Linked DNA regions of Caenorhabditis elegans. The protein of the gene in region 1 purifies or fractionates together with the protein of each later gene. This does not show direct contact. Each region holds a gene or a part of one and is shown on either strand. Other genes may lie near its edges.

The links.
Region 2: the proteins of saeg-1 (region 1) and saeg-2 purify together in Caenorhabditis elegans (affinity purification with western blotting, with the first as the bait; one study listed by BioGRID). This does not show direct contact.
Region 3: the proteins of saeg-1 (region 1) and egl-4 purify together in Caenorhabditis elegans (affinity purification with western blotting, with the first as the bait; one study listed by BioGRID). This does not show direct contact.

The regions. Positions count from the first base shown.
Region 1 is NC_003283.11:10,861,942-10,869,026, reverse strand, and holds the start of saeg-1 (Suppressor of activated egl-4 protein 1), read left to right. Parts: upstream 1-3,327; coding exon 3,328-3,444; intron 3,445-3,594; coding exon 3,595-3,699; intron 3,700-4,181; coding exon 4,182-4,262; intron 4,263-4,308; coding exon 4,309-4,458; intron 4,459-4,504; coding exon 4,505-4,609; intron 4,610-4,665; coding exon 4,666-4,757; intron 4,758-6,957; exon of another isoform or gene 6,958-7,085. UniProt on the Caenorhabditis elegans protein: As a likely component of a histone deacetylase complex, together with saeg-2 and hda-2, functions downstream of the cAMP-dependent kinase egl-4 to regulate the expression of genes required for egg-laying and foraging.
Region 2 is NC_003281.10:9,237,518-9,244,449, forward strand, and holds saeg-2 (Suppressor of activated egl-4 protein 2), read left to right. Parts: upstream 1-2,845; 5' UTR 2,846-2,904; coding exon 2,905-2,976; intron 2,977-3,167; coding exon 3,168-3,251; intron 3,252-3,297; coding exon 3,298-3,555; intron 3,556-3,785; coding exon 3,786-4,040; intron 4,041-4,089; coding exon 4,090-4,211; exon of another isoform or gene 4,212-4,276; intron 4,277-4,490; exon of another isoform or gene 4,491-4,552; coding exon 4,553-4,679; 3' UTR 4,680-4,997; downstream 4,998-6,932. Other genes in the region: dat-1 (Sodium-dependent dopamine transporter), read left to right, coding at 5,458-5,476, 5,853-5,971, 6,020-6,339, 6,655-6,804, 6,856-6,932. UniProt on the Caenorhabditis elegans protein: As a likely component of a histone deacetylase complex, together with saeg-1 and hda-2, functions downstream of the cAMP-dependent kinase egl-4 to regulate the expression of genes required for egg-laying and foraging.
Region 3 is NC_003282.8:1,845,132-1,852,386, reverse strand, and holds the start of egl-4 (cGMP-dependent protein kinase), read right to left. Parts: upstream 4,317-7,255; coding exon 4,161-4,316; intron 2,723-4,160; coding exon of another isoform or gene 2,696-2,722; intron 1-2,695. Other genes in the region: ccm-2 (CCM (Cerebral Cavernous Malformation) gene homolog), read right to left, coding at 5,409-5,467, 5,538-5,679. UniProt on the Caenorhabditis elegans protein: Promotes chemoreceptor gene expression in response to increased cGMP levels by antagonizing the gene repression functions of the class II HDAC hda-4 and the mef-2 transcription factor.

The DNA.
Region 1 (7,085 bases):
AGAAAAAATAATATATTTCATGCCAGAACTATAAAAATTGACGAAATTCGTTTTTTTTTCCACTAAACTTGTTTTCTCAACGAAGAATTTAACTCTAGCTGGAAAACCAGTTTTGCTCAGATTTTATTTTTATTTATTTCTGACTCTTTGCAATTGGTACAATGAATTTTTTGAAATCCAGTTAAAGTCGAGTGCGAAAAGCAAAATAGAAAAAGATCGCCAAAAAATAACACATGTTTTAGTTTGTGAACCCGAGCCTTAACTTCACAGAACTTTATCTAACACCGATTTTTAAATTGATATATTCTGTTGCCTGAAATCTTAACTTTTCCATACACCATACATATATACCGGCCATCAAAATCGCTAAGATATTTGTATTAATGAAAATTAGAGAAATCTTCTATCTCTTCTTGTTCAGTTTTTGATTTATGTTCTCAGTTATTCAGTTTGTCATGTTTGCTCCATTGATAAATCATTTCAATGGAATAGGTCTTCATTCTGTTGTATGAATCTTGCAATGTCCTCTCCAAAGCTGATACAAAATAAGATCGGTGTTCAATGATTGAAAAACATTTTTTACCTTTCCGAAAAAACTAAATCAAATTTTTTGAGTTGTGGTCTCTGGTCTTTCACATCTTAAGAATAACAGTTTTTTTGAGATCAGCTTGTTTCAAATAAATCTTAAGACTATATCCTATTCCATTCATGAGCTTTCCTCTTTGATTTGAAAGTCATCATTGAGAAACGTGACCAAATGAATTATTAACAAAAACTGCTTTCAATCAAAAATGCAGTCAAGAAAAAATGAATAAAGAATTCACATCTTCACATTATATATTTCATTCTTTATATACTTTTAGATTTATTCTAGCTTCATTTACTTTGCGGTGGTGTCTTCAACCTATCGGTATGATTTTTATCGCCATTTGAACTCGATCTTTTCATTTTATGATTCCTTTTGGTTGGTATATTAACAAAAGTCTTGTGGTTCGCTGACAGTTATGACAGAAAATTTTTTTGTAAATGAAATTCAATACTTGAAAACTTCTAGATCAAGGAAAAAGTTAGCATAATATCAACTAAAAATATTAAATTATTTCCTTTTTCAATATTATTCTAGTTGTTTTTCATAAGCGTACAAACGCAAAACGGATTTCCGTATAAACATTGGAATTCCGTTTTGCGTGCCTTGTTTTTAGCTAGTCACGTGATTTCCACGTCATTTCAGCCGCTCTACACGAATTCAACGGAAAGAAAGAAACGATGATGATGGGTCGTTGCCTTTACTCTTTTCCTTTTCTCTTCTACTTCTTCCTCTCTTCATTTTTTCTTTTCTTTTCTCATTAAGGACTACTACTACTACAACTTTTATTTTTGTTCTCTTTCTCCATTTCCACCCACCCTGTTGTGCCCTTTATTGGTCAAAAGTCAAATGTCAGGTCTCCTTTTTCTCTATCTTTTGCTGTAATCAATCGACGAACGAGAACTGTTTTGTCGAAATTTTACACAGTTGCACAGAAAAAAGTATTTCAAACAAATTTGCATAAATATGATTGTGTCAATTGTCAGTTTCATGTGACGGATAGATTCTCCAAAAATTTATATTTCTGGAAAAATCTTTTAAAATCAGGCTACCGTAGTTTTCTTATGAGTATCGCATGCAAGTATATTTTTTGATAGATTATTTAATTTTTTTTAATTGTTATCTTGGAAAATATGAAAAGTTAATTTGCAGGCGTTTTGTTTAGCAGAGAGCACTTTTCATATGTTAGTTTGTTTATAATCAAGGCCAGACTAAACTTTCTATATTCAAGCGATTTTCATAGTAAAAGTGTCATGTGATCACTAAAACTAGTGCATAATAATGGTACAAAGAATTTGTTTAGACCCAAGCGGCCGAAATCTTATTTAACGTTTTTTCTCAAAGTAAGAGAACTAAAAATGGTTTTGGATCTAATTAATGTTTTTTTTGATAATCGATAACTAGTCCTCACACTCAAATTTCCAGTCCATCAAATGATCATGTATCTAAATTTAGTTAATTTGAGACATAGAAAAACATGATCTTCCTAAACACCAATGATCACTTATTATTCTTCGTTATATTTTCTTGTTTTGAAAGGTGTTGTGGCACCACGGAGTGGCGGAAGACCGAACCCTTTAAGCCTCAAGAGGAACCGAGCAACGAAGACTATGTCAGAGGTGCAGCATGGCATCGTCTATTTGTATATGTATTGGAAGGAACAGAACACAGTTTTAATAAATATGTTTATTACTCCAAAGGGGAGATAATCAACAGAGGGGGAATGGGTCGTACACAAGAGAGGGGGAAATCGTCTGGTGTGAGAATATCACGTCCTGCCACGCGGGTCTTTGGTCTGAAGAGGTCGTGTGTATGAATGGTCGGGGTCTCTTTGGGTATCAGAGCACGTACATAATATCAGTATGGGGCAACATAATAGAGAAGGGGGTTTGTCGGGGAGAGAGCTGTGCTACGCACGACCGTTCGGCACGGGCGCAGCAGGAGACACTGAAGTGGTGGCGTCCAATGGCTGCGTATCCTGTTGTTGGTTGAGTCGCCGCGCAGTGAAAGCACTGTGCGTCAGAGCAATCTTGTATTGTCTTACGTCGAAACCTCGTCCAAGAGATCTCTCATGAGATCGGAGGACGAGACATTGTGACATGGCGAGACAAGGGTCGAGCCAGGTCACAACAAAAGGTGAAGTTCATGCTCACTTATTATTTTTGAACGGATTTTAATATCTTAGTTTAGTTGATTCTTATTTCTGCTGGAGACTACTCTGCCACACTGAACTTAATTTCTTTTTATGAAAACCATCAATTGATCCTACAAAAAAGAAAGTTCACACCCATTATTATAACGACACCGCCGTACCTAAAAGAGGAGAGATCCACTCCCAGTTTCAAGTATCTTCGTTCTTTTTCTCTCATTTTAAACTCCTTCAGTTTGTAGTTTATGTGCTTTCATAAGTACTATTTCTTGTTCAAAAAATCAACCAGTTCAACACAAAAACTATCATGTAATGATACATAATGTTGCGCTTAACCCTTTTTTATTGATCATCACTTTTTTTTTTCATGCTCTCTGCTCTATCATCCCCGTTTTTTCATTGCTTTGATATTCAGTCATACCGTAAACCTTTTCCGAAAAAAACTCAATTTTCTTGTGTTTTGCTCCACAATATGCTTTTTAAAGTGTTATTATTTCAGATCAACGTGGATCAGTTGCACAATCCTTTTGAATGGGGTGCTCCTGATGTGCCCCAGCAACCGCCACCACAACCACCTCCAAATGAAAATCCAATGCCACCACCTCAACATCCTCCAAATTATTACGCTCCTAGAAGATCGATTTCCACTATAACTGGCCCAAATCGTAGAGATGTAGATGCTTTTTATCAAAATAATTTTCCAGAAAAGGTTTGCAATAGCAACACGAACATAAAATTAGTGAATATAAATATTCAAACGTGTTTTTCCATGAACGGTACTATTCACCAAAACACACAAAAAATGCATTAAAAATTGATATTGAGTAGGTGTCTTAAAATAAACTTTTAAACTTTTCAGAACGGAGGTTCCAGCGGAGAGCATGTTCCAGAATATCAAGCATCAGGGCAACAACACAGACCTTCAATTATGTCAGGGCAGTCACATCAGAACAATCATTTACCTGTAAGTTGTTTTATCCTAATCGATTTTTGGATCTAGTAGCTCAATATTCATATTCATACATTCCTTCAATTTTTTGTAAAAGAGTCATGACGAATTGATGCAATTTGGAGCATAGAAACGGCTGAATCCAAAAAAATCTAAAATTAACGCTAGCAAAAAATTTTTGGTCAGAGGAAAACTACTGGACCGAAACGTTTTAAAATTTGCATTGATATAGTTCTCACTATCTAGAATTTGCAAAACATATTTAACACGATTCAGAACAAAAATTTTTTGTTTATTAGTTATTTTCGATAACGAAAAATGTTGGCAAGAGATTGATTATATTTGTAATTTTGCAATCAACATAAAATTTCTATCATAATTAAGCAAATTTTAAAATTTTAAAAGTTTGAATTTCATATTAATAAACATAGTGTTTCCTATAAAATACGATATCCGAATATTTTCTTAATGTATACTAACAAAAATTTATTTTCCAGACAAAAAACTATTCTTACGAACCTCTCCGATTTTCACCACCCAACGTGACACCTCCACCACTTCAGTTTTCTACAAATACCGTAAGATATTCTATAATATTCCTGAATTTTCAAACCACTTTTTCAGGATGGAAATCGAAAAAATCAACGTGTTAGATTCAACGAGCTTCCTAACTATTCAACTCCAAATCATTATTCAGTTCCGCCTAGAAAGTGCTCATTGGCTCCAAATTTCTTCTCATCGCAAAACTCTCATCATATGTATCCCGATCAATATGTGAGAAATAGAAAGAAAAATAATTACTATTCAATCGCAATTTTAGACTCCTCGTACGTGGCAAAACAATGAGTTTATGCCAAATCATCAGGTCCATCCGTATCATGCTAATCACCAACAGCAACACCCTCAACAACATTGGAGAAATCAAGTGAGGATATTTTTTAATCCTTCTATTATTCAACATTCTAATATTTTTTGGTTCAGGCGGCTTCAAATGGTAATCACAATCCAATGTATATGAGAAAACATTCGGCCGGGCATGGAATAGAGATCAAACTAGATCATGTTGATAATCCGTAAGTTTTTTTTTTCTGTTTGAAAAGTTAATTTTCTGAGGACAATATATTTGATAGCGCTTTATTTTATCTCAAATGGTTGTAATTTTAAAACACGTTTCATATATATTTTTACGGACAAATCTTGGAAAGGTCTTGAAACAATAAATGTTCAAAATTAAAGACACTTTCTCAAAAAAAAAAAGACAAGCTCAAGAACTATTAAAAACATAGGTTAAAATTAATTTCAATAACAAAGTTTGTAGACTTTTGAATGTTCAGTTTTATCATTTTGACTTTTTTGCTTACCAAATATTACACTGCACATTTTTGGCGAACATCTGTTTTTCTTACCTCACATTACGAAAAAAATGCAAAAAAACTCGGATGACCATTTCAGCGACCGGGGCTAAATTTCGAAGCTGAAGTATTGCATATTTTTAGTTCCGGCTCTGGACAGCTCTAAACACAGCCTTCCAAAAATCATAGGTATCGTTGTAAAATCAGAGTATATATCAACTTCCTCTTTTTGTATACTGTATATCTTCTATTAATATGGCCTCCCTATTAGACTTGCACTCCCTATTAGTATTGCCCCCCCGGAGACCTTCCGAAAACTAGTATTGCACTCCCTATTAGTCTTGCACTCTCTAATAGTCTTGCGTTAACTTTTTTTGTATTGCAAACCCGTCTCGCTAATTTCAGGATTTCAACAAAAAAAAATTGCCTATTTTGCAACAGTTTTCACATCATTTTTACGAGATTGAAGTTTTTGAACTTATATGAAAATCAAATTTTCTGAATTTTTACATATGATTCGAGCTTTTTCAGGAAAAAACTAGTAAGCTCAAAGTCAGAAAATGTTCTGAAAATTAGTATTGCACTCCCTAATAGTCTTGCACTCCCTATTAGTATTGCAAGCGGGAAGACCATCTAAAAATAGTATTGCAGCCATATTAATAGAAGAAATACGGTAGTTGTTTTAACAGAAAATCAAAATCTTTACGAATACCCTTTCGAGGTGATGGATGTTGCGACAAATCACGTTGATGCATGATTTTAATTTCAGTGGCCATAAAGTTAACGAAACGCAATCAAATTTGTGCAACTGATAGATAAGAAATTGTTCGGTGCATAAGAAATTTTGGAATTCTCAAAAATTCAAATCTAGATAATTGTGCATTCAAAAAGACAAATATTTAATCAATAAACAAGCATTCGAATGCAAAACATTTTTACTCGTTAAACGAGTTACGCCAACGTTTGTATATTTTTCGTTCGAAAAAAAAAACACTTTGTACACATATTTATTCTAGGAAAAACAAACACGACCAGAGATTTATGAACTTTCCAGTTAATTATCTATATTTACAACGCAACGAAATTCTCAGAATATCCAAATACCCGTCACTGAAATGCCATATATTCTAGGGATGCACTTGCTCAAGATTTTTCATATTAGGGAAGACATATTTACGTAATGTGATTAGCTGAGATGCTAGTGTAACAAATTAATCTTAAATTAAAATTGTGATCCTTCCAAAATTAGAATTATAGAAATCGAGTTCAAAATATTCATTTCTCCACACATGGGGTTTCAAACATTTTGCGAGACCATTACGCAATTTCTTAATCTATAAAAAGAAAAGTTGCAAAAATGACGTAAGGAATCTAGTTATCTGATTCAAAAACCAATAAAATATCCTTGTCTGGTTAATCTAAAAGTTGTTTTGTATTTTCACAAATATCTAATTTCATAGTCTGGCACGAAAAGTCAAAAGAAAACATAGCAAGTACATGTTTTACTTGAAAAATTCGTGAAGAAAAATAGTATATGTTATTATCAGTTTCTATTTCATCTGCTTCTTCTTTTTTAGTTTCCTTTTCTACTTTGTTTTCATCACCAAACCCCTATTCGTTTCTCAGTCAAAACAAAAGAGAATGAGGTGTTCAGTTCCGTGAGATATGCCGGCTCAAAACATAAATATACCTTCCACTTTTGTCTGGTACATTCAGGAACGGTTTTTGGTCAACTAAATGAGAAACTAGTAAAGTACTATAAATGTAGACTATATTCAAATTGAAAAATCCATGTTACATCGTTACATTTTTTTTTTGTTATTTTTCAATTCATTTTGTTCCATGTTGTCTATTGCAGAAGACTTGTGACCGTAGTCGTTGTTTTCAACCGAAAAATTGGAAAAAAAGAGTAAGCGAGAGAGAGAGTGAAGAGAAAAAGGGAAAGAGGGCGTGAGGAGTATGTCTATATGTCTGCCCCAGTCTCAAAGCTTGTCTCTTTTTCTTTTCATCTTTCTTCAATATTTCCTTCTTTTTTTCTCCTGCCGCCTG
Region 2 (6,932 bases), on another chromosome or scaffold:
GAGGTGACCGCTAAAAAAATGTAAATATTGATAAGGACATAATAAAGTTAAAGCGACAAAGAAAAAACAAGGAAAATATGATTCAAAACGTATATTCTCTAATCGGAACAATACAATAGCGTCAACAATATGACACATTTATTGAAAATAGAAAATCCAAAAAGAAAATTGAATCAAAACTCTGCTTGGAGCGTAATACAACAATCCAAGAGAGAATAAATGATCTTTCAACTAGCTTATCAGTTTCAAATTCAATACAACCCATCAGTCTATTTCTATCAGAGAGTGACCAACGTTACTGATAAATAGAATACGACTGTTTTGGCTTGAAAAGTCTGTTAGATTGTTTCAAATGAAGTGTCAAAAGAACCAATAAAGCATGGTCAGTGAGTGTTGATCGGCAAAAAATGGAGCTGAAGTGTAAGTAAACTTCAAAGTCATGTGGGTGTAAAAAAGAAGGAATTCGAATTTCAACGGACCGGAAAACATCGATATGTGCCATTTTCATTTTTTTTATTTCCTGGTTTTCGTTCAATTTTATGCTTTAGGCTGCTGAGTCCCACAAAAACACTTTTTTTGTAGAAAAGAATGCAACAATAATTTGTGCGAAGATTGCATGGAAGAAAGGAAAAAAAGCAACACAAAAAATAGAAGAGGAATGCAAGGCAGTTGCCGTCAACTTGACGGGCGGGAGGGAAAATGCAAGAACGACAGGGCAGGAGGGTCTTGAAATGGCACTTTGTGTATATATTAGAAACGGGGAATTCTGGAGGAGGAGAAGCACAAAATGAGCACAGGAAGGAAGGAGAGAACAGAGCAAGACGAGTCTTTCAAAGGAGAAGAGGGCCTAATTTCAATGAGCTGCGCTTGGTCAAAGACTTCTCGAAAATCAATGCAGACAGAGGGAAAGAGAGAGAGAGAGAGAGCGAGTGAAGAACAGGTGCTAGGCTTCATATCTAGAGCTGATAGTGTGAACTTATGTTTTCAGTGATGCATTTGAAAAATTCATACACAATTTCAGTTTTTTTTGAGTCTCTAAATTATTTTTTCCAGATTCTAACCAATATTTTAAATAAAACTGAGTTTTTCCACAATAATAATTAAAACACTACAGACCTCTACAGAAAACTACAATCAAGTGATCATAATAGGATCATGCTCCCCCACAAATTAGATGAACACAGAGCACAAAAATAAGAAAAACAGCTATCCAGACAGGCAGACATATCGGTCACACGAAGGGACAAAGAAGGGAAGAAAAGTATTCGTGAGCACAAACAACAACCCATCACTTTGTTTGTGCAAAATAAAGACCTAGTGAAACTGCTTCCACGAAAGCGACTGCCGTCTTGAATTGCGAAGGACCCACCCGCGGCGGTTCTCATTGTTTTTTGGAGCAACTAGAATTCGAAATGAACGGAACCGAAGATGAAAATAATAATTTGAAAAGATCGATGAGAAAGAGGGTTTTCCATCGCGGCTTTGAGACAGACAGCGATCATTGAAAATGGATATTTGTAGTGCAAACTCCTTGCGCGCCAACACAACAGCTAGCGTGGTGAACAAATCGGAGGAGTGTGTGAAATGTTTTGGAAATATTCAGAGACATATTGATGTTTATAAATTTGATTATTTCTCGAGCGCTAGAGAAAATCTTGATTTCAGAAATGATGCTGGTTGACACAAACGCCAAATGGCAACAGCTGAACTCTACTGGAAAAAAGCCTAGCTATGACGCAAATGGTTTTCAAGAATATCCAGGTACGCTTCGAGAGATATCACCATGGCATGCTCATATTATAGGTTAAGAACAAAGACGGCCTTTCTGAATATGACATGAGGAAGAGGAGGAGAAAATTTTATATACACTCAATAAATCAGATTTATACTAATTTAGTCCGTTCAAACTAAACATTTTTATTCTAGACAGCTTCACATCAGCAGATATAAGAAGTAAAAAATTTGAAACAATTTAAATAGGTATAATCAGAATCAATGTCTTGACTCACTATTACGCTAACATAGGAATTAAATATTACTCCGACGCAAAATTTCCGTAATTTTGCGTTAAAAATACGGTATCCGGTCTCGGCACGAAATATGTTGTTAAATACAAGAATGTGCGCGCCTTTAAAGAGTACCGTTCTTTTAGCGTAAGAAACGCAAGATTTCGAGTATGGACAATATCAAAACTGGATGACAAATTAAAGAATGATCGCTTTCGTTTTCGAAGAACAGATTTTTAAACTTTTTTCACAACTTTAATACTATTTGACAAAGATAGAATCGAAAATACGCAACACGGAAGAATATAACAAATGACACAAAAACAGAACCGTCGAACTGATTACTGTGTGATTGATTGGTTTAGTGCGAACAAGTGTTTGTCCAAATGTTCCAACCGGATCGCCGATTTGTCTCTTTCCTCTCACCACGAAATAGAAAAACAAACATTAGGTTTATCAAAACTGACCAATGTCTTTGATCTTATCAAGCTACTACTCTCAATCTACCACCTTCGGAGAAAAGTGAACATAGGAAATGGAAGAAGAGGGAGCATGGACATCATAACTAGTAGAGAAAAAAGCGAAACAAAAACCACAAACTCTGTGCGATGGGCAAAACCAACGGAGAAGTGAGTTGAGAGAAGGCAGGGAGAGCGTGTCAGGGAGAGAGTATGAGGAAAACATGCCGCCTGGAGAGTCGCAGAGAGTGCTGCGTCTTTTCTGCGTCTATCCAAAAGACGATAGTATTTTCCAGCCAGCTAGCATGACTGCCACTTTTATTTCCTCTTCTCTTTTTTCTACGTAGTCACCCATATACACTCAAATCTTAAAATTTAAATTTTCAGCACTGAAAATGTTCGAACGGCAAACTGGAAATGGGAATGGCAACAAAATGAATATGAGGATAGTGATTCTCGATGAATTGTTGAGCAGAGAAATGGATGGAAGCAACGATGGATCGTCAGCAAGAGTTAGTTCTTTTTAAAAATTGTGAACAGTGTTGGATGATGCATTATGACAATCAACTGATTTAATTTAAACATTGCCCTGCAAAAAGTGTGAATTTTAATCGAGTTTTTTGTGGAGGATGAAAAAGAGTTAAATTTTGCTAAAAAAGCAACAAAAAACTCACACCGGAAAAAGAAATTGGGAAAATTTCAGGTAAATTCATTGAAGCACGTGATAAAAAGGAACAAAATGGATATGGCAGACGATGCACCATCTTCGTTGGATCTAATGAGACGGGTATGGACTGTTAATGTTTCAAGTAATTAAAATGAAAATTATTCAGATTTTCCAAGCGGAAATATCGAGAGAAATCCATCAGATTATGGAGAGGCATACTAGAACAACGCTATTACCAGCTATCGAAAATCTCCGCAAAAATGGGCATGTTGTTGACGAATCAGTTTTGAATGGTTTGTACTGTAACATTTTGGAGGCTGCAAAGAAGCCATATCAAAAAGATCCGGAGCCTATGCCACCGATTTGTACAAATGGAAATGGGTTCCTTGATATCAACAGTCAAGAACATGAGAATAATTTAAAGGTAATTCAAATCTCAAATCGAATAAAGAATGAAAAACTATATTTTTCAATTCTAGAAAATATCTGGAAAATTTTCGCCGACTGTTTTCAAAAAAGGACCTTTCAAAACTATTTTAATAGATACAACGGAAGTAATTAAAGCAAATTTTGGCGACGATTTCAAAACTTTAATCACTACGGCGTGGTTAAAAAATACAAAACAAAGTATATCAAAAATGCTGATATTTTCAGAGAGGATACGAATCGGATAGCTCAGACGTGTCTGGAGTCAGCCACTGCTCCGATGCTAAAAGACGACGAGGTCGTCCACGTAAAGATGAAGAAGCATATCGACTAGAAATGACGCCACCGACAATGAACGAAGTCATTCGGTGGAATCCGGACAGAATCGATGTGAACACCCGTTTTATAACGGCGACAAAAATTGCGCAAGTGATGGGAATGCCCCCGTCGATTCTGTTCAACAAGTATCCACGAATGTTTAGAGTAAGTAACTGGAAATCGGCAATTTTCAAAAACTGTTCTACCGTTTTAGTATTCCTGCGATGAAGATGACAAAAATATTCTACATGAGCAAAATCTTCTCATCAGGGCACCCGGTAGATGCTATCTTCTGGTTGCAGAAGATGCTCGTCAGCTAGTTCCCTCCACTTACTTGTAAGTTTTTTCTACAAATTTAAAAGAGAAAACCAAAGAAAAATATAAAGGAAATGATTATCCTACTCCAACAAAACTCTCCGAAAAATAATTATTGCTCTAAATCGCATCGCGCTTCGCCGAGCAGCACTTCCCTCACCTACCGATCAAAAATAACAGATTACAACGAAACAGGTAGAAAAGAAGTAGAAAATATCTAGAAATGAGAGAAAAATTGGTTGATAATAAAAAAAAGTCCGTAAAAAGATAGCAATTAAAATTAGAGCGATTGTCCACGAGAAAATTGTGAGAATATTCAGAGAGTTCTATAAATTTTTGAAAATTTAGCATTTTTATTTCAGCCAAGATGTCCTCAACGTCTCATTCCTCATCTCCGAGCCACTGCTATCAAAAATTCGCCAAAAAGCGGCATCAACCTACGAGAAGTACAAAGTCTTTCTGCCCACACAACCGAATAATTATCTCTGAAATGTTTCTAGTCGTTTTTGTATTTTAAAGCACATTCCCAATTCTGAATACTTTTCTGAAATCCATGAAATGGAACTTGAATCCAGTTTTCACTAAAACGACCTCATACACTTTCTCTCGTATCCTCAAAATATCTATGACATTATCATTAGCTTCGCTAGTTTCATTTCTTTCAAATATTATGCATTCTTAAATTCCGATACCCGCGTGCAAAAGTGCTCTATTGAGCAACTTTGGGATCATATGTACACACCAATGCCCTTTTCCCAAATCTTTTCCTGTCCTTTTCTCTAAAAACAATAAATCCATGCCTATTCCAGTATGACCCCTTTGAAGCAGATATAATCGCACAAACATATACACATAGCTCGGATAAATGTAGAAAAAGAAGAAAAGAAGTATAAGTAGATAGATGCTTTCCGGCAATTATCCACCGCACCGTAGTCTTCACCAACTGAGACTGCGTCGTTAGGAGACGCCGACATGATTCAGAAGCAGAATTTGGAAGAAAAACGACGATGATATTGAGGCTGGCACACATACACCGGAATATTCGACATGCCACCACATCTAGATTCCAAGGCAATCTCTACCTCTTCCCATTCTTTCGGTTTTTTTGTTCTGACAAGAAAAGTGGATAGCTACGGGCTCAATGAGCTGATTTTATTTTTAAATATCTTAAAACTATACTAGATTCATGTGTTTTCAGGTCCATATTCCAAATTAGTCGAAAAGCTGATCCCGCTACGGTTTACTCGAATCTCAACAATTTTTAGCCATGCAGTTGGTGCCTACAGGTATTTCGTTTTTTGCCCGACTCTTATTTATCTGTAGACTTTCGTTATAAAACAAAGCTATCTTTCTGAAATTGTTATTACGTAGACGCCTCAAGATGAGAATCTTCGCCAAATCTTACGCACATGGGTCTCGCCACGCAAACAAAGAATATGATACAATAGCGGTCTGCAAATTGACATGAGTTACAGTAATTCGTTCTCCGCGTGGCGAGACCCGCGGCTAAAGTTCTCATCCTTAGAGACCAACGTAACACTCTGGGTATAGTATAACTTACCATTAAAATTTTTTTTTAAGTTTTATAATTCTTCACAGGGTTTAACATTAGATTAAAAATTAGTCGGTGACTTCTAACTAAAGTTAAAATCAAATCTTCAGACGATCCCGACGAAAAAATCGGTCGGACGTCTAATGGCATGCAAAATGCAACTCTTCCTATTGATGGACCAGTTAATACAGAACCCAAAGATCCAGCAAGAGAACAGTGGTCTGGAAAGGTAAGATCCATCTTGCCTGTAATTCTACATATGAACCCATCTTTTCAGCTGGACTTCCTTCTCTCAGTTGTCGGGTTTGCTGTAGATTTGGGAAATATATGGCGATTTCCATATCTTTGCTTCAAAAATGGAGGAGGAGTATTTCTGATTCCTTATTCTATAATGGTCCTGTTGACAGGAGTTCCACTATTCTACATGGAGTTGTGCCTCGGCCAGTATTATAGAAAAGGAGCAATCACAACTTGGGGAAGAATATGTCCGTTGTTCAAAGGAATCGGATATTGTGTTATTTTAACCGCATTCTATGTGGATTTCTTTTATAATGTGATCCTTGCCTGGGGGCTTCATTATTTATATACTTCATTCAGGTGAGGACAAAATATGCTTATTTTAGGTATTATAAAGACATAGTAAAACCAAATAATTTTTAAATCTTATAAATTTTTACCGCCATAATTTGGAAAACTATTGCAATTAATGTCAAAAATCTTGTCTAAGTCTACCAAAAATGACTAAAGTTCTACAAAGCCTCTGGTAAAATTTCAAGAAAAAAATTACAGTTTTTTTAAAACTTGATACTAATTATTTTTAGATATCTATTCGGATATCTTGCCAATGCTATACCAGAAAAATTTTAAAAACCACCATTCCTTTTAATTTTGCCATATTCACTTTATTTTCAGTTTTAACCTGCCATGGGCATCCTGTAACAACAGTTATAACTCTCCTGCTTGTTACGAACCACACTGGTCAGAAGACGGAACAGCAATGTGTCGAAGTGCAAATCAATCTGTCTCAGCTGAAAAGATTTCAGCTGCTGAAGAATACTTTTAGTAATTTCTAAACTTTTTTGATAATTTCTAAAAAAAATATATATGTTTCAGTAAGGGATTTCTGGGGCTCCATGAAGCAAATGCACCGAACTCTCACGTTATTCGAAGTGTCACCGATCTGGGAAATG
Region 3 (7,255 bases), on another chromosome or scaffold:
ACGTGACGGTGAAAAAGAAACAAAATAAAAATCTAACGATTTCTAAGTGATCTTTAAAGGCGCACAAGAGGCGTAACAAGATAAGAATCTCGGCAAATTCGAAGACAGAAAAAATCGACGAAGAAAAGGTGTTCAGAAACCAATTCCCACACTATTCTGTCATGAATGAACATACAAAAAACGAGGCAGCTTTGTTAGGCTGAAAATGGAAATTACTTTCCTTTTTCTCTGTGAAAAATTGGGCCGACAAAAACAGCTCCTGTTCCTTGACTTTTTTCTTGTCTCGAGACCGCCCGTGTGTTCTAATTCCATTTTCCTTTTCTTTTCTACCTGATTCAGAGTCAATGAGGCAGGAAAACGAAAGGATATTTTTGCTTTTTTTTCGCAGAAATTCTCGGGCCCCACGGACAAATTCAAAAGCTTTTTGAAAATTTTCAGAAATTTTTAAATTTCCACATTTTCATTTTTTTTAAGGCAGAAATTCTGGGATGCCACGTACATTTTCGTAGAAATCTAGATTTTTCGTCTCGAAAAATGGTAAAAAACTGATAACATTCAGAAAACGAGCCCCAGTGAGAAAATTCGCTTTTTTTCTCATTAGAGCGCGTTTGCGGAGCAAAAAATATTTCTAGTGGAAATTTATTTGAAAAATTGCAGAAAAAGGGCTTCAAGGACAGGAAAATAAGTAAACAAAAAGTGCATAAAATTAAGTGTCCGCACACAAAAAAAATTCAAATGTCCCGCCGATCGCATATTGCAAACGCGCCCCAGTGAGAAAATTGAATACTTTTCTCATTAGGGCGCGTTTGATGCATGTGATCGTGGGAAATTCTCATTTTTCAACAAGTTTTCAGATTTTTCTTGGAAAATTGCAGAAAAAATGTGCTTCCTGTGTGTGTGTGTCTCCCCAGGGCGGGAATTCAATTTTCTTAGAAAATAGGTAATCAAGTCTTTCACTCAATTTCGTTGGGCGACAGAGATCAAAAACAACAAAAAAAAGTTGTATTTTTTCAAAAATTGTGTTTCTCTCTGTGTGTTGTTGACACACAGCCGGGGCAGGCAGGCAGGTGATTAAAAAAAAGTAAATTGGCAAAATGGGAGGGCGCACATATTTTTAATGCAAAACGTCCAAAAATAGTGATGACGACGAGGGGTGGTGGGGCCTTGAAATAAAAAAAAATGAAGTAAAACTTTTTTTTTTGGGCATAAAAAAATGAAACTGGCTTGTAAAAAATGAGAAAAACGGCCCGACGACGGGAGGAAAATCCTATTAGCGTCGGTCGTCCCTATCGGCATGGGCTCACCCGTTTTTTGTGCAATGCACAATTGCACAAGAGCACGTACACTTGTGCATAAGGAAGAGTTCACCAGGAAGAAAATACCATTGAGAAAATTGATAAGAAGAACTATCGAATTTTTTTCTGATCAATTGTTCAATTTTCAGAAATTTTGTGTGCCAAAATTTCGAAAAATTGAATTTTTGCGAATTTCGACTCTGAAAAATCGTAAATCGATCAATTTTCCAGGTGAGACGTGGTCTGGGAAGCTGGAATTTTTTGACACCACGAGCACGTGAAAAACCGAGGAACAAATCGGTATGGTCCAGACTTTCCCATAACGGTTTGACCTACAAAAATGCGGGATTTTTTGGCCTAAAAAATGTGACGTCCGCATGTTCTTAGCCATGCAAAATAAGTTGAAAAGTCTGCGTCCAATTTCCCGCGCATTCTGGTAGATCAACGTAGATCAAACCGACATGGGACACACCTGGCACCACGTGATGGTCGAGTTTTCACTGTTCGGAAATCTTTGAGCTATGGGAAAAAGTAACAATTTATAGGAAGATTGGGTCAAATCTCATCCTTTTTCTGCCAAAATATCGGAAAAATTGAATTTCTGCGATCTTTAACAGGAAAAAAATGGCAATTTAGATGTATTTTCTATTCAGAAAGCTCAAATTTTTCTAGACTTTTCACCGGGAAGCAGGTGTAAACCGAAAAGCAAAAGAAATTGTTCGGTTATTCTATAAACTCCGTGAAGTGGCCGAGATTTTTCGGCTCGTGGCCGCCGCCTTTTTCTGCCAAAATTTCGAATTTTTGCGAATTTTGGCATTTTTAGTAATGGCCGAGTTTTCACTGTTTCGAAAGCTTTGAGCTGTGGGGAACAACATGACGTCAGTTCGGCCGATAGGGATTGATAAGAGAATTACTTTTTTTTTTTCATAAAAAAATATATCAATTTTCAGATCAATCGATCAATTTGCAGTTATTTTTTTGTCGGAAAATAGAAAAATCTACGTGGATTTAGTAGCAAACACGCTCCAATGAGAAAAAATGCCTAACTTTCTCAGTGGGGCGCGTATGCGGTGAAGGCGAAATTCGAATTTTCAGATGAGAATCGATTTTCTTCCGTGATTCTGGGCGAAATTTCGAGGAAAAATCCATTATTAGACTATTGAAATTGTCAATTTTAAAAACTGAAAAGCCATCGGAAATCCAAGCTTTCGCCTAAAAATTTCAGATTTTCGGTAATCCTGATGTCTTGCTCAAATGTCGATGATTTTTCTAATTTTAGAGCTGAACTTCTGAAATTTCTACCGTAATCTGGGATTTAGCCCCCACTAGGTCGCATTTTAAGGCGAAAAAATGCCAATCAAATTCCAATTCTCCAAGTTTTCGGTCCGCCAAAAACTCACATAAATCCTGGGTGGCTGCTGCTTCATCATCTTTTCATACTCAGACACTTCCACACATTTCAGCACGGAATATAGGACTAGAAATACGGAAAACTCTTCACCACCAGGTCTGCTATCACCAGGCTCAATTTGTTGTGATAAGAGGAATTTCGTCAAGTCGACATGAACATGATCATTACGCGACCCCCATGGAGCCATCAAACAACAGTTGGTGTCGTATTGCAGGCGTCCTGTGGAGAGAGCCGAGCAGCAGAATTGGCGGAGAGCTCCGGAGCGGGAAATTGGAAAAATATGTGTTGAAAAACTCGGAACAACCAGCAGAATAGTCGGAAGAGTCTAGGCAATAATTCGGAAGAATTTTCCATTTGGAGCACCAAAAACCCCGGAAAAACCGCAGAAAATCCAGAAAATCGACAATCGGCTCCTCCGTAAATCCACACAAAGTGACAATGATCTCTGGTCACGAAAATCTAGAAGTTCAGACAAAATCTAGCAAAAATCCGAGGATTTCAACCGGAAATGTGTAAAAAATGTCAAAGTTGATACCATTTCTGTGCACAAAAAACCTGAAAATTTTGAAAATCTGGCTGAAATTGGTGAAAATCACCAAAAGTTTCGCCCGTAAGTCGACATAGGCATCAGTAAATCTACACAGATTTTTGAAATTTTCAATTTAGAAAACTGCATTTATGGTATAAACTCAAATCAAATGTTGAGTTCGCCAAATTGAAAAAAAACTCTCGTAAATCGACACAGGCCCCCGTAAATATACACGGAGCTGCGGAAAACACCAAATAATCCTGGAAAGATTTTGCAAAATTGAAGGATTTCATTCCAAAACTAGTCGAATTTCAGTAAAATTTCGGAAAATGTTATCCCGTAAATCGACACTGAACCCCTGTAAATCGACATTAAAGCCTCGTAAATCGACATTACAGCCCTCGTAAATCGACACTGAACTCCCGTAAATCGACATTACAGTCTCGTAAATCGACACCGAACCCCCGTAAATCGACATTACAGCCCTCGTAAATCGACACTGAACTCCCGTAAATCGACATTACAGTCTCGTAAATCGACACTGAACCCCCGTAAATCGACATTACAGTCTCGTAAATCGACACTGAACCCCCGTAAATCGACATTACAGTCTCGTAAATCGACACTGAACCCCCGTAAATCCACATTACAGTCTTGTAAATCGACACTGAACCCCCGTAAATCGACATTACAGTCTCGTAAATCGACACTGAACCCCCGTAAATCCACATAGGTCTTTACAAAGTCCTGAGCACATTATGACCGAATAACTCGGGATTTTTAGGCCAAATTTATCAAAATTATATCATTTTTGCCCATTTTCCCGCATATTTTCCCCCAAAATCCCCGTAAATCTACACAAAGGTAAATTTTAATCATTTTTCAGCGATTTTTCCTGCAAAAAAACCTCCCACAAAACTCTAACCTGATTCCCATTCGGCTGATCAGACGGCTTACGAAGTTTGGAGAAGAATCCACGGATTCCACCTCCACCACCACCTGGAGCACCACCACCGGCTCCACCACTGGCTCCTCCGCCACCACCACCACCGCCGCTCGACGGACGGCTCCCAGAGCTCATTTCCAGTTGATTTTCCGCTGGTCGCTTTATTGTTTTATCGATTAATTTTCGGATTGTGAGTGGATGTGGTGGATGGCGGGCGTCGGAGGTATCACCTTTTGATCTGTAAAAGTATTTATTTATTGATTTTTTTGAGCGGAGCGGGGAGGAAAAAACGGAAAAAAATGCGGAAAAGTGAGAGAGAAATCGAGAGGAAATTCAAATTTTCAGCGAAAAAATGCAGTTTTTTCGATAAATTTCCGAAAATGTTCACACGAAATTTGAGTTTTTGCGAAAAAAACATCATTTTTGAAGAAAATTCGGCAATTTTTGCTCAAATTTTCAGAAAAAAAAGGAATTTTCTGCGCATGTTTACGTGGAATTTTTTAAAAAATTCGGTGCATTTTTTTTTGAGAAAACCACTAATTTTCAGGGAATTATATCAGAAAAATCTAAGACAACTCAATTTTCAGCGGAAAAAATGTCGTTTTTCTCTATATTTTTACACGAAATTCGAGAATTTTTGTGATTTTTCCGAACAAATATTTTCCACAAAATGCAAAAAATTCGTCATTTTTTAACCACCAAATTTACAGGAAAAAATTGGAAAAACGGGGCATTTTTTGAGTAAACCACAAATTTTCCGGGAATTTTATGAAAAAAAATCTAAGAAAAGCCAATTTTCAGGAGAAACCTCGTGCAAAATTTCAAGAAAAACCGACTTTCACCGAAAAAGCAAATTTTTCACAAGAAATTCGATTTTTAAATCAAAATCCTGACAAAATATACAAAATTGCCGATTTTTCAGCTTAATCCAAGTGGATTGTGGTTTTTCACGCAATTTTTCAGAAAAAAAACGCGAAATTCTCAGATTTTGCGGGTAGTTTTCACAGAAAAACCGACTTTTAGAGGAGAAAATTTGAAAAAAAATGTAAAAAAAAGAAAAAATCCAATCGAAATCCATCCGTCTCCGCCACATCTTCATCAGCATCTCCCTGCAAAATTAAATAATAAATAAACAGAATTTTCTACGATAAAAATTCTTTAAAAAAAAAAGAAAAATTGCAATTTCACGACGAAGACACTCACCCGCATTTTGACGACCCGCGTATTTCAAAGAATCGCCGAGTCGAATTGGAGCATGTCGCCGGCTCTCAACGCATGTTTCAGGTCTGCAAATTGGCACAGGAAATTGCATTGAATTCGAAGAAAAGAAAAGAGGGGAGTGTTGTAGAAACTCACATGAAAGACGCTTTTTTCGTCCGGGGCCGAGCAGTTCGACGAGCTTTTGCGCGAAAATCTTCACATTTTGCTCGCCGCTATTGTATTTCTTGATAATTTCGCGAAAATGTGGAACTTCTTCGGGGCGGAGACAAGAGAGAACCTGAAAAAAAAGGAAAAAATGATGAGAAAATTGATAAATTTCGATTTAAATTTCATTAAACTCGCGTGTGACGAAAGTACGCAAACACGGATGGAGAAAAATGCGGATCGAGCGCAGAATCTTACGACATGTGTGAAAATAATATATTTTTAAACTCTCATTTTCAGGCAAAAACTCCATGAATTCCAACAATAAAACTGAATTTTAGGAGAAAAATTGAGAAATAAAATTAAAATAAAATTAAATATTTTGCAACAGAAAAATTATGTGAAAATTGATTTTTACCGGTTTTTGACGGCAAAAGTCGAATATTTCAAATTTTCAGCGAAAAAAAGCCAAAAAGGGAGATTTTTAGAACACAATTTTTGTAAAAAATGCTATAAAACCACAAGCTTGTAGGGAAACATGAAAATGTTCGGTTTTTTTTTGCGGAATCTTCAGCAAAAGAAATCCCAGAATTTTTCGAATTTTCTTAGTTTGGACTTTAAAAAATCTGACTTAACATAACTTCAGTTTTCTGTTTGATAATTCACATTTCGAAAAAAAAATTTCTTTTCTTCTTTAAAATTCATCATTTCTATACGAAATGTTTTTCAAAAAAAAAAAAAGAAAAGAAACTCCCATTAATTTTGAATGCGGTGCTCTTGAAAATGTCAGATTTTTTTTGGATTTCAAGGAGAAAAAACTAAAAATAAACCAAGCAATTTCCCAATAAATAAACTTTTTAGAATGACGTCAGAGGGCAAAAATTGTAAAATTTTTAAGGGATTTTGGGGCATTTTGTTGGGCAAATCAGTTTAAAATGGTAGAATTTTATTATCAGAAATATGATGCATCGACGTTTTGGGGAACTTTAGAACAATTGCACGTGGTGCCAGGCTGTCCCATTAATTTTGTAGATCAAAACGTATTACGTTTTGATCTACAAAAAATGCGGGAATTTTTTCACCGAAAAATTGTGACGTCGGCACCTTCTTATCCATACGAAATCAGTTGAGAACTCTGCCGCATTTTTTGTAGATCAACGTAGATCAAGCCGAAATGAGACACTCTGACACCACGTGGTAATTGGGGCAAAAAATCAAGTTTTTTTCACCATCGATGCACCATGTTTTCGATTTTCTGCGTGGCCGAGTTTCTGAAAACTAGGCCACGTTCACAAGAAAGCTAGGCAGCTCGGAACCCATAAAACATGGCGGATCAACCCAAAAATTTGAAAAAAAAAACCCGAATTTTTACACAGTAAACATGCAGTTTCTCTGGGGAAAGTTTACAAAAAAAACGGGGTTTGTGGGGTCTTATCCTTTTCCTTATCACCTTATCACTGTCCGCCGTCGCCGCCACAAAAACAAGTGATAACTTCATTTTCGAGCGGGGGGGGGGCAAAGGCGAAATGTTGCAGTAGTGCCTGCCCTCAGGCCAAAAATGAAAGAAGAGAGAGAGAGAAGAAGCAGCTAGTGGGAAGAAAAGTAGAGAGAGAGAGAGAAAGAATGTCCTCTCTCCACACTAATCTTCGTTTTTCGCTCCAATTTTTCACCCTCTCTCTGTCTGTTTATGAGCAAGTGCTAGTGCGCAC